Linked DNA regions of Saccharomyces cerevisiae S288C. Changing the gene in region 3 together with the main gene of any one other region gives a genetic interaction. Each region holds a gene or a part of one and is shown on either strand. Other genes may lie near its edges.

Region 1 (4,015 bases), on a different chromosome or scaffold from region 3:
TAATAACATCCGGCCCATTAGCATTATGTGATTAGCATGCATTTTCCCCTTTTCCTTTCTTAAGAACATTTTTACGACGCGGATCTGCCCGTCATCGCATACGAATGTTGAATCACGCCAGAATCACCAAAGAAAAAAACTCGTTCAGTTCCTAGGTTTTATGAGCCAGGAACAATAGACTTTTATCGCATATTATTTCTATACGTGCACTTATATATGCACACATATGTTTATATACATATACATACATACGTGTTTCTTTTCAGCCTGTGTTTTTGTCGGGTCCAAAAACATACAAGGCAACATAATATTTTGACATAACTCAACGCAACATAACAGTATAAAACATAGTTTAATAAAAGAGAAAAAAAAAACAATATTTTTAAGCTATCGCTCTTGCCGCAATGAACGCCAACTCTACCACGACAGCAATCGGCCTCACCAGCCCCTTCGAAAAGCTGTCCTTCTTCCCTCATTCGTCTAATTTAATACTGGCTCATTTGCATGAGATCATCTTCAGCTTCGTCTTCTACCAGCTCGCATTCTCCGTTGTCGCACCGTTCTTGAATAAAGTGGTCTTTCGCAAGCACTACACCACGATCCGTGACCCACTGCTGAAAATTGATTTCAATGTCCACACCGTCTCGATGATCCAGGCTGTCGTCTCGAACACCGTCCTGTTGCCCACCCTCACGACGCCAATGCATTATAATGTTGTCACCTACACAGATTCGTACAGTTCAATGGTATCTTCCCTCAGCGCAGGGTACTTTATCTGGGACTTGACTATGTGCGTGCGTTACTTCAAGCTTTATGGTCTCGAGTTCACGGGCCACGCCATTGGCTCCGTATATGTGATGCTGTTGTCCTTAAGACCGTTCTGCCAACCCTGGATCGGCAGGTTCCTTATCTACGAGGCCTCCACTCCCTTTGTGAACATCAATTGGTTCATCATGCAATGTAACGCCAAGAGCAAGAACTCTATCCCTCTGTGGTTTAATGTCGTCAATGGCCTTTTGCTCATGACTGTGTTTTTCGTCGTCAGGATTTGCTGGGGCTCCATCGCATCCGCTCTCTTATTCAGGCAGATGTGGAAGGTAAGAGACGAGTTACCCAAGTTTTCTGCTGTCACGATGATGTCGCTGAACATTTTCATGAACCTTTTGAACGTGCTTTGGTTCAAGAAGATGATTAGAATCGCCAAGAAACTTGCAAAACCAGCCCCAACGTCGAAGCTAGACTAAACCTACCTTTTTTTCTATCTTCAACAACGAAACGCCTTACACACACACACACATACATCTACATACATACATACAAATATACATATATGTAAACTTGTATATTCATTCCTATTAACCAAAAAGAGGCAATTAAACTTTTCCCTCTTTTTCTACGTCATTTACTCAAAAACTCTAATTCCTTCGTCTCTGTTCTGCCATTTTCTCCAGAAAAAAATCGACGGGAAATAAAAAAAAAAAGACAACGAACAAGAGAAAAAGTTCGCGAATTATAAACCACTTCTATAATTAACAGGAAAAGGAAGGAAAAAAAAGGAGGAAATAGAAAACTGCAGGCCTTTATTCATGTTTGATCTTAAGACGATTCTCGACCATCCTAATATCCCGTGGAAATTAATCATTTCTGGGTTCTCGATTGCCCAATTTTCTTTCGAATCTTACTTGACGTACAGACAGTACCAGAAGCTATCTGAAACAAAGTTGCCACCTGTGCTGGAAGACGAAATTGATGATGAAACTTTTCATAAATCAAGGAACTACTCCCGGGCCAAGGCCAAGTTCTCCATTTTCGGTGACGTCTATAACCTAGCCCAAAAGCTAGTTTTCATCAAATACGACCTCTTCCCTAAAATCTGGCACATGGCCGTTTCTTTATTGAATGCAGTCCTGCCAGTCAGATTTCATATGGTCTCCACTGTCGCACAGAGTTTATGCTTCTTGGGTCTCTTATCCAGTTTGTCTACCTTGGTTGATTTGCCACTCTCTTACTATAGCCATTTTGTCCTGGAAGAAAAATTTGGTTTCAATAAATTGACCGTCCAACTATGGATCACCGATATGATCAAGAGTCTGACTTTGGCGTATGCTATTGGTGGCCCAATCCTTTACCTGTTCCTTAAGATCTTTGATAAATTCCCTACTGATTTCCTTTGGTACATTATGGTCTTCTTGTTCGTTGTCCAAATCTTAGCCATGACAATCATTCCAGTCTTCATCATGCCCATGTTTAATAAGTTCACTCCATTGGAGGACGGTGAACTGAAAAAATCTATTGAAAGTTTGGCCGATAGAGTTGGGTTCCCTCTAGATAAGATTTTTGTCATTGACGGCTCAAAAAGATCTTCTCATTCAAACGCATATTTCACAGGTTTGCCATTCACCTCCAAGAGAATTGTTTTGTTCGACACTTTAGTGAACAGTAATTCTACTGATGAAATTACGGCTGTTTTGGCCCATGAAATCGGTCACTGGCAAAAAAACCACATCGTTAATATGGTCATCTTTAGTCAATTGCACACCTTCCTCATTTTCTCCCTTTTCACCAGCATCTACAGAAATACATCATTTTACAACACCTTCGGCTTTTTCTTAGAGAAGTCCACTGGCAGTTTTGTTGATCCCGTTATCACTAAGGAATTCCCCATTATCATTGGATTTATGTTATTTAACGACTTATTAACTCCACTCGAATGTGCCATGCAATTCGTGATGAGTTTAATTTCCAGAACTCATGAATATCAAGCTGATGCTTATGCTAAAAAATTGGGCTACAAGCAAAATCTATGTAGGGCTCTAATTGATCTACAAATCAAAAACCTTTCCACCATGAATGTAGATCCTCTGTATTCTAGCTATCATTATTCCCATCCAACTCTAGCTGAAAGATTGACCGCTCTAGACTATGTTAGTGAAAAGAAGAAAAACTAATCTATAGAGTACACATATTAGCATGTACCGTTAAATTCAGCTTCGTTATGTCTATATCTACATACATACACAGGTATCTACTATAAGAATAAAGGAAAGAAAAAATAAACGATTAAACATTTTATTTTTTTGCATCGCTATCATCATTACCTTTCTCATTGTTATCATCATTATCTTTCCCATCTTCATCGTCATTTTCTTCATCATTGATTATTTCAATGATTTCTGTGGTTTCAGTCTTCACGGTAAATGGTTGGGGTTCTTCAATATCCTCATCATTAACCATGAATTGGTTCAATCTTTTGAACTCTTCATTTTTCTCCTCCCTAATGGCATTATACAAAAGAAAATTTATCCAAACTTCTGCAAAACAGTAAATAAAAACAGAGTTATTGTGAACGTAAAAGTTTGACTCCCAAAGGTACGAGATACTTGTCAAAATAAAAAAAATTAGTAATCTAACTGGCACAACAGATTGGAAGTATTTAACATTGTTTTCTAACAGGGGAATTAGATCATGAACACCGTTAAGAGTAAACAGAAGAGCGAAAAGACCCAATTGACCACTATAACGTGACAGTGTTAACTGCGGTAAATTCATCGCTTGCGTTAAGACTATGAAATATGTATTTTGCAAAATAGAATTAACGTTCTTTAAACAAAAGAAGGCGATCGTGAATAAAAATGCTACTCTGAAAAAAGCAATATTGGTGGAGTTCAAGGCTTGAGCCATTTTCTTAGAATTTATTCTTTACTTTTGCTGAATGCGATACTCTATTATGTTGTAAATTGTTACACTACCATTCAATTGTCTCTCTTTAAAGATTGATCGACATTATTTTCTTTACTTTTTTGGTGTTTTCGCGCTAAAAGTGGCGTGCTAAATGCCAAGTATTATTCTAAAAAATCATTACGCCATACACAAATATTGAAGACTATCTATCTAACTTAACACCAACTTGCTTTATTAAAGAGTCAATATCCTTCAAAGACTTAGTGAAATACAATTCATCGTCAATATAAGGTTCTTCACCGTCGCTATTGTTCAAGTTTTGTATTGATTTTAA
Region 2 (4,130 bases), on a different chromosome or scaffold from region 3:
CATTGTCTGCCAATGTAATCTTCTTCATGTGATGCTTTAAAATATCAGCACGACCACGAACATCTGGCAAATCCACATTCACAACCTTATCAAATCTACCTGGTCTAGTTAACGCCTTATCTAAAGCCTCAGGGAAATTTGTGGCACCAATAATAATAATTCCACTTGTTTGTGAGAAACCATCTAATTCGACCAATAACTGATTCAACGTTTGTTTGGCGTAAGCTTGGTCCTTTGGATTACGCTTACCACCGATGGCATCTAATTCATCAATAAAAATAATAGCTGGTGCACGAGAACGCGCTTGAGCAAACAAATCACGGATACGTTTAGCACCAACACCGACGTAAACTTCATCAAATTCAGAACCTGACATAAAGAAAAAATCTACACCAGCCTCTCCGGCAGTGGCCCTAGCCAACAAAGTTTTACCTGTACCAGGAGGTCCAGTCAACAGTACACCCTTTGGTAGTTTACCACCCAAGGACTCGTACTTAGTTGGATCTTTCAGGAAATCAACAATTTCTTCCAATTCCGCACGGGCCTCATCACAACCGCAGACATCATCAAATTTAACATTTGTCTTAGCTACATCAACTGATTTGTCGGCTACTTCTGACGACTTTAGTAGCGTTGTATTTTCTGTGATGTATTTAAAACCTTCAGAAAAAGAGTAGGTTAAGATACCGAAAACAAGCAGCCACTTTACCCATCTCGATACAACAGTAAAAGTTGATTCAGATACGACAACATGTAGTGGCTCTTTGCGAGATCCATAAAGCGGAGAATACATCGATGGAAAGTTACCATGATAACCTGACTGGTTTGATGAAGATGACGCCAATGATGGGTTAACTGCGCCAGCAGAGCTGGCTGTCAGTAGGTTTTGTCTAACGGCATCAGCCTCCGAGTGTCTGCCTATCCTCTGCAGGGCCTCCATGTACAGTTCCATGCATTCAGGCGATGACGCAATACCGGGGGTCTCAAACCTAGAGACCACGTATTGCGGGTAGTTTGATTGTAAGAGAAGTTTGTAAAAGGCTGCTTGTGCATCAGGACTCGTTAAGTCTTTATTGGCCTCTTGTTCTCTAGTTGCTAGCATAGCATGTGACACAGCTACGTTCGCTTGTTTGGTTTTATCATTAGTGTTCGATGGAGGTGGTGGTTGCGAATTGTCGATTGAAGATATCGTGGATTTATTGGATGCCTTTCCAGAGCTATCAGCTTCCTTCTTAGGAGGCATTTCACCGCTATTCTTTTCAGAATAAAAACGGTAGAACTTCTTTGATCTTAAGGCCCATTTTTTTTGAACTAACAAAGAAGCACCGATTTGAGGTAGCCTGGGAGCAAATATGCGTAAAACATTTGTCGTGACCGTGGGCGACACAAGTATTTTTGAAACGTTCATCTATCACGTCTCTGTTTTCGTTCTATCCACAATGTATTATAATTAAAAATTGCTTCAATAAAATCCTGTTTATCCTTTAAGCTGTGCTTGCTTTTTACTTATCAAAAACGCAAGGTAGAGATTTAACTCACTTCACCAACTCCGATATATTGCCTTTTCACTACCGCTACAGCGTACAGGAGCTACCACTCCTCGAAGAAAGAGGTACCATGTGATTCGAGATTACTAACCAACCGATGCTGATAGAAAAAGGTGGCGAAGATTGGGGGCCGTTCCTCCGGCGATCGCCACATATCGCATTTCACGAAAGATGAAAATAAAGATGCATCCGAAATCCCGACCAGAAACGTAAAAGGGTATATTGCAAAACAGTCGTTAAAAGCATATAGCATTTTGCATTAGCATCTGTGAGGCCTCGTCACTGGATTTACCCTATTGAAGAACGTATAATGGTTGATTTGGAGCAGGAATTTGCGCTCGGTGGGCGGTGTCTGGCATTCCATGGTCCTCTTATGTATGAAGCAAAGATCTTGAAAATATGGGATCCATCTTCGAAAATGTATACCAGCATTCCTAATGACAAGCCAGGTGGTAGTTCACAAGCAACTAAGGAAATAAAGCCACAAAAGCTGGGAGAAGATGAAAGCATTCCAGAAGAGATCATTAATGGGAAGTGTTTTTTCATACATTACCAAGGCTGGAAGTCGAGTTGGGATGAGTGGGTTGGATATGATAGGATACGGGCCTACAATGAAGAGAATATTGCCATGAAAAAAAGACTGGCGAACGAGGCGAAAGAAGCTAAGAAATCGTTACTGGAACAGCAGAAAAAAAAGAAGCTCTCCACTAGTCTGGGAGGGCCTAGTAATGGTGGAAAAAGAAAGGGAGACAGCCGCTCGAATGCTAGTATAAGTAAGAGCACTTCACAGAGTTTTTTAACATCTTCAGTGAGCGGCAGGAAAAGCGGAAGAAGTTCCGCTAATTCCCTCCATCCTGGCAGCTCTTTGCGCTCGTCATCCGACCAAAATGGGAATGATGACCGCAGAAGATCTTCTTCGCTATCGCCAAATATGCTACATCATATTGCCGGCTATCCAACCCCCAAGATTTCCCTTCAAATTCCCATAAAATTGAAGAGCGTGTTAGTCGACGATTGGGAATACGTAACGAAGGACAAAAAAATTTGCAGACTACCCGCTGATGTGACGGTAGAGATGGTACTGAATAAATACGAACATGAAGTGAGTCAAGAATTGGAATCGCCAGGGTCCCAGTCACAGTTGAGCGAATACTGTGCCGGTCTCAAGTTGTATTTTGACAAGTGCCTGGGTAATATGCTTTTATATAGGTTGGAACGGCTGCAATATGACGAACTTCTGAAAAAATCATCGAAGGATCAAAAGCCACTAGTACCAATTAGAATTTATGGGGCTATCCATCTGTTAAGGTTGATAAGTGTTTTACCAGAGCTGATCTCGTCTACTACAATGGATCTACAAAGCTGTCAGCTTTTAATCAAACAAACCGAAGACTTCTTGGTTTGGTTGTTGATGCATGTGGACGAATACTTCAATGACAAGGATCCAAATAGAAGTGACGATGCTCTGTATGTAAATACGTCTAGCCAATACGAAGGAGTGGCTTTAGGTATGTGAGACGTTTATATTCTAGCTTGGGATTATTTCTAGTATTTAGTTCTTCCGTATTTATGCAATAACTCTTCACAGAATATCTCGTGTAAGAATATGGACACTGTTCGTGGCACTTTACGAAATTCAAGTTTATTCTCTTTGCAAGGTTCTTAGGGTAATGGCAGCTCTGAAAGGGGCTTGTCGAGTTAAAACATCATTAATGATTATATTTTATTTTTGTTATTTTTCTGACGTATCCATCGTTTCGCATCTAGTATGAGCTTACTAAGAGCTTCGTATATAATGTACTATCATCTTCACTTACTCGTTTGCACACTACCAAGTTCTGTCCAGGGCTCCTTGTTTTATATTTTTAGTGTAATTGCATGGTCTATGCAACATGATTAAAGCAGCATCACACGCGCCATTATATAATCTAAAATAGTCCGTTGTCGTGCGCATTCTTCTGTGGCGCGTCTTATATGAGAAAAGGGTCTTTCGAAGTCATTAACCCTCTGACGCAGCAAAAAACAACTTTATGCAGGGTTTACTTCATACAGAAAGACACTTGCTTGTTGTCAATGGCTAAAAAGGACCTCAGGCAAAAGCGTAGGATAATTACAAGTTGTTCGAAAAGGAGTTGTTTATATTTATTCATCGCTCAATGCAGAAGCATAACAATTGTAATAACACTCATTATAGATAGAGCTTGCATTAAATACACGTCTATCCTTTCAACCCAAGGCATTTGAAGGAAAGGAATGAAAAAGAGGAAACGTTTGATATTCGTCAGGCTATTACTTGACTATGAAACATGTACAGGTTGGTCTACTGCTGTAAAAAAAAAAAAAAGTCCTTAACTCGCTTATTTAAGGGAACCATTATTTTCGGGGATTGTAAATTTACTGACTATGCAATGAGTTTAACAGGCTGATCAATTATGCCCTAGCAAAAAAAACTGAAATGATGCACCTCGAACTCTAGTGCATTAGCTTGAAGCTTTATTCTCCTGCTAAAAAAAAAAAAAAAGTACTAATTTGCTTGGAAGCGAGCACCCTATTGCTTTTAAAATTCTCCATATGGGCTTCCCC
Region 3 (3,032 bases):
TCATCAGAGCCCAACGCTTCATCAGAGTTCAACTCCTCATCTTCAAACGACTCAGAATCGATATCATCTTCATCACTGTTAGTGTCACCTTTTGACCTTTTTAACAAGTTGACAACTGTACCATTACGACGAGCATCATGTCTTTTGTCATTGTCGCTGGAGTTATCGAATTCACCATTAATTTCTCTCTCAGCAAGTTGCAAAGCATCCAAAACTCTTCTAGAACTCTTGGATCTGCTCTTAGATTTCTTTTTTGCCATATTTAAGTTAGCTTATTTTGTCTTGAAGCCTCTTTTATTAGTATATAACAAGATGTTATTGAATGCACACTTAATGAATTTTTTCAGCTCATCGCCATAGGAATTTGAAAAATTTTCAATGGCCTTTTCCGGAAAACTACAAAGTGACGATAAATAAAAAATTACGTTGCATATAGATAAACGTATATCAGATGGCTACAAATGAGATATGAAAAATCGTAGGAAAAGCAAAAGAGTTACCTAGGCTGTAGACGACTCCTTTTTTTGTTGCTGCTGTTGTTGTTTACTCATCGCTTCATGCTGTCTAATAGCGGCTTGTCTTATTTGGGCCTCGATGGACAAGGAATACTGGGTCTTTTCCTTAATAATATCTTGGATCTGTACAGATTCTTTGTTAAGCTTGTCTACTTTCTTTTGGTAAAATGCGATTGCTGCTTCAGCGCTCTTTTCAACGTAATATCCTGTACCAATGTCGACCATGAATTTCTTATTGTCTACAATCTTACCTGGGATGTATAATGATGCAGATGCTGGAACCAGTAGTTTTTGCCCTTCATTTCCTGCTTGGGAGACTGTTTTAATATCATCAATACATTCTGTGAACTTGCCCTTAGCCATGGTTAATGCTTGCAAGGACTGTGTGAAATGCTGCAATTCTTGGTCGAATTGCTGTTTTACAGCATTCAGCTGCTCGGGATTTAGTTTAGTTAAATCGACTAAGTTTCGAACATGTAGTAACTTAAAAGTTAGTAAAGTGTCTGTACGGTGGCAACAACGAAGGAGCTATTCATTTACATACTTTTTTGAGAGGACATGGCTTGATTTTTACAGTGCTCTTTCTTGTTTGGGTCACAGCAAGATTTTCATCTAAGACACTTTTCTATTTAAAATCGTTAGAACAAAAAAGAAAATTGTAACTTATGAGACAGCCACGCAACACAAAAAAGGGCATAAACAAAGTTGGTTATCCTAGAAGATGAACAATACTGATCCTACTTCATTTGAAAGTATATTGGCTGGTGTGGCCAAATTGAGAAAGGAAAAGAGTGGTGCAGATACTACTGGATCTCAATCGTTAGAAATAGATGCATCAAAACTCCAGCAGCAGGAACCGCAAACATCAAGACGCATAAATTCAAACCAGGTCATAAACGCCTTCAATCAGCAAAAACCGGAAGAATGGACCGACTCAAAGGCTACAGATGACTATAATCGAAAGAGACCCTTCAGGAGTACTCGACCGGGAAAAACTGTACTAGTGAACACTACCCAAAAAGAAAATCCACTCCTGAACCACTTAAAGAGCACCAATTGGAGATATGTATCTTCAACAGGAATTAATATGATATACTACGACTATCTAGTTCGTGGAAGAAGTGTACTGTTCTTAACTTTGACTTATCACAAATTATATGTCGATTATATCTCTAGGAGAATGCAGCCCTTATCTAGAAACGAAAATAATATACTGATATTCATAGTAGACGATAACAACTCTGAAGATACCCTTAATGACATTACAAAACTATGTATGTTCAACGGATTTACTCTACTTTTAGCATTTAATTTTGAACAAGCTGCAAAATATATTGAATATTTGAATTTATGAACAATTCCTATTTTCTTTTAATAAATCTGTTCCATGCTTATTACCATCCTTTGTCATTTTAGCGCTTTTAGCACCGAATTGAATGGCCCTTTTTGGTTCTGATGATATTCCATCCAACTTCAAATACTGCGAGGCAACTTTTCGAAGGATTAATTTGTTAACCTTGAAATTAATGGGAATTTCTGCTGTAGATAACTTTATAACATATTCATCTAAAAATGGGTATCTCACCTCCACGCCATTATGAGCTATCACTTTATCATCACGATTCAGGTTGCGATCATAAATGTTGTTTATTTGCCTTGTAAGTTCCTCCACAAGTTCATGGGGTGGTTTGTTGGCAAACTTGTGATATCCACCGTAGAGTTCGTCTGCTCCCAGTCCGCTGAATAACACTATCCCATGGCGCTGATATGGCGTTCTTTCCCCATTCAGAGAAGTTAAGAAACCTCTACCTCTCGACGCAAAAAAAAAAGCAATGGCTATAGACAAGTCCATTTCAGTCTGTTTAGGATACATTAAATTGATAACAAATGGCTTCCATTTTAAATACTCATCATAAGGAACGTCAACTTCAACCAGTTTGATATCAACATTAGGATATAAGTTTTGTAAAGTCTTTGCACTGTTAATGGACAGTTTTCTATCAGGTGTATCACTGGGAAAAAGACCAGTCCTGGGGTTTTCGAAGGATACATTTAGAAGCTCTATAACTGGTTTTCCACATTTATAATCATTTTCTTGCAACACCTCGCAGATCAACGCTACTATTACTGAACAATCAATTCCTCCTGAGAATAGTACCGCAATAGGAGAGTTTTCAATATGCCTGGGATGTATGGACTCTACCCTTTTTTTTACAGAATCACGTAGCACAGCATATAAATTTTTAGACACCTCTGACAATGATGTGAAATTCAGATCTATCTCTGATGTCACTTCGTATGGAAGATGTGACCTCTGATTGGAATTTAACAACTTAGTTCGTGTATCATATTCATAAATAACTCCACCTATACAATCTTGAAAGGACCCAGCAGACCCCGTTACACTAGCGACGTACAATTCGTTGTCTGGAGTGACCGAATAAGACAAACTTCGCCTGCCAATTGGATCTCTGCCGAAATAGAGTTTGGATGAGTTCACGTCATATATAGTATAAG

What was found.
Region 1: mutations in GIM5 (region 3) and STE24 together harm fitness more than expected from each alone (negative genetic interaction), as found in Saccharomyces cerevisiae (5 studies listed by BioGRID, with this or other methods).
Region 2: mutations in GIM5 (region 3) and EAF3 together harm fitness more than expected from each alone (negative genetic interaction), as found in Saccharomyces cerevisiae (6 studies listed by BioGRID, with this or other methods).

What each region holds. Positions count from the first base shown.
Region 1 is NC_001142.9:640,421-644,435, forward strand, and holds STE24 (zinc metalloprotease), read left to right. Parts: upstream 1-1,586; coding exon 1,587-2,948; downstream 2,949-4,015. Other genes in the region: YJR115W (uncharacterized protein), read left to right, coding at 1-31; TDA4 (Tda4p), read left to right, coding at 405-1,244; ILM1 (Ilm1p), read right to left, coding at 3,070-3,681; JHD2 (histone demethylase), read right to left, coding at 3,884-4,015. UniProt on the Saccharomyces cerevisiae protein: Proteolytically removes the C-terminal three residues of farnesylated A-factor mating pheromone. Also acts to cleave the N-terminal extension of the pheromone. Does not act on Ras.
Region 2 is NC_001148.4:607,759-611,888, reverse strand, and holds EAF3 (Eaf3p), read left to right. Parts: upstream 1-1,857; coding exon 1,858-3,063; downstream 3,064-4,130. Other genes in the region: i-AAA protease YME1, read right to left, coding at 1-1,408. UniProt on the Saccharomyces cerevisiae protein: Component of the NuA4 histone acetyltransferase complex which is involved in transcriptional activation of selected genes principally by acetylation of nucleosomal histone H4 and H2A. The NuA4 complex is also involved in DNA repair.
Region 3 is NC_001145.3:80,318-83,349, reverse strand, and holds GIM5 (Gim5p), read right to left. Parts: upstream 1,076-3,032; coding exon 1,060-1,075; intron 977-1,059; coding exon 501-976; downstream 1-500. Other genes in the region: UTP14 (Utp14p), read right to left, coding at 1-260; DNA repair protein RAD10, read left to right, coding at 1,237-1,869; YML096W (putative asparagine synthase), read right to left, coding at 1,864-3,032.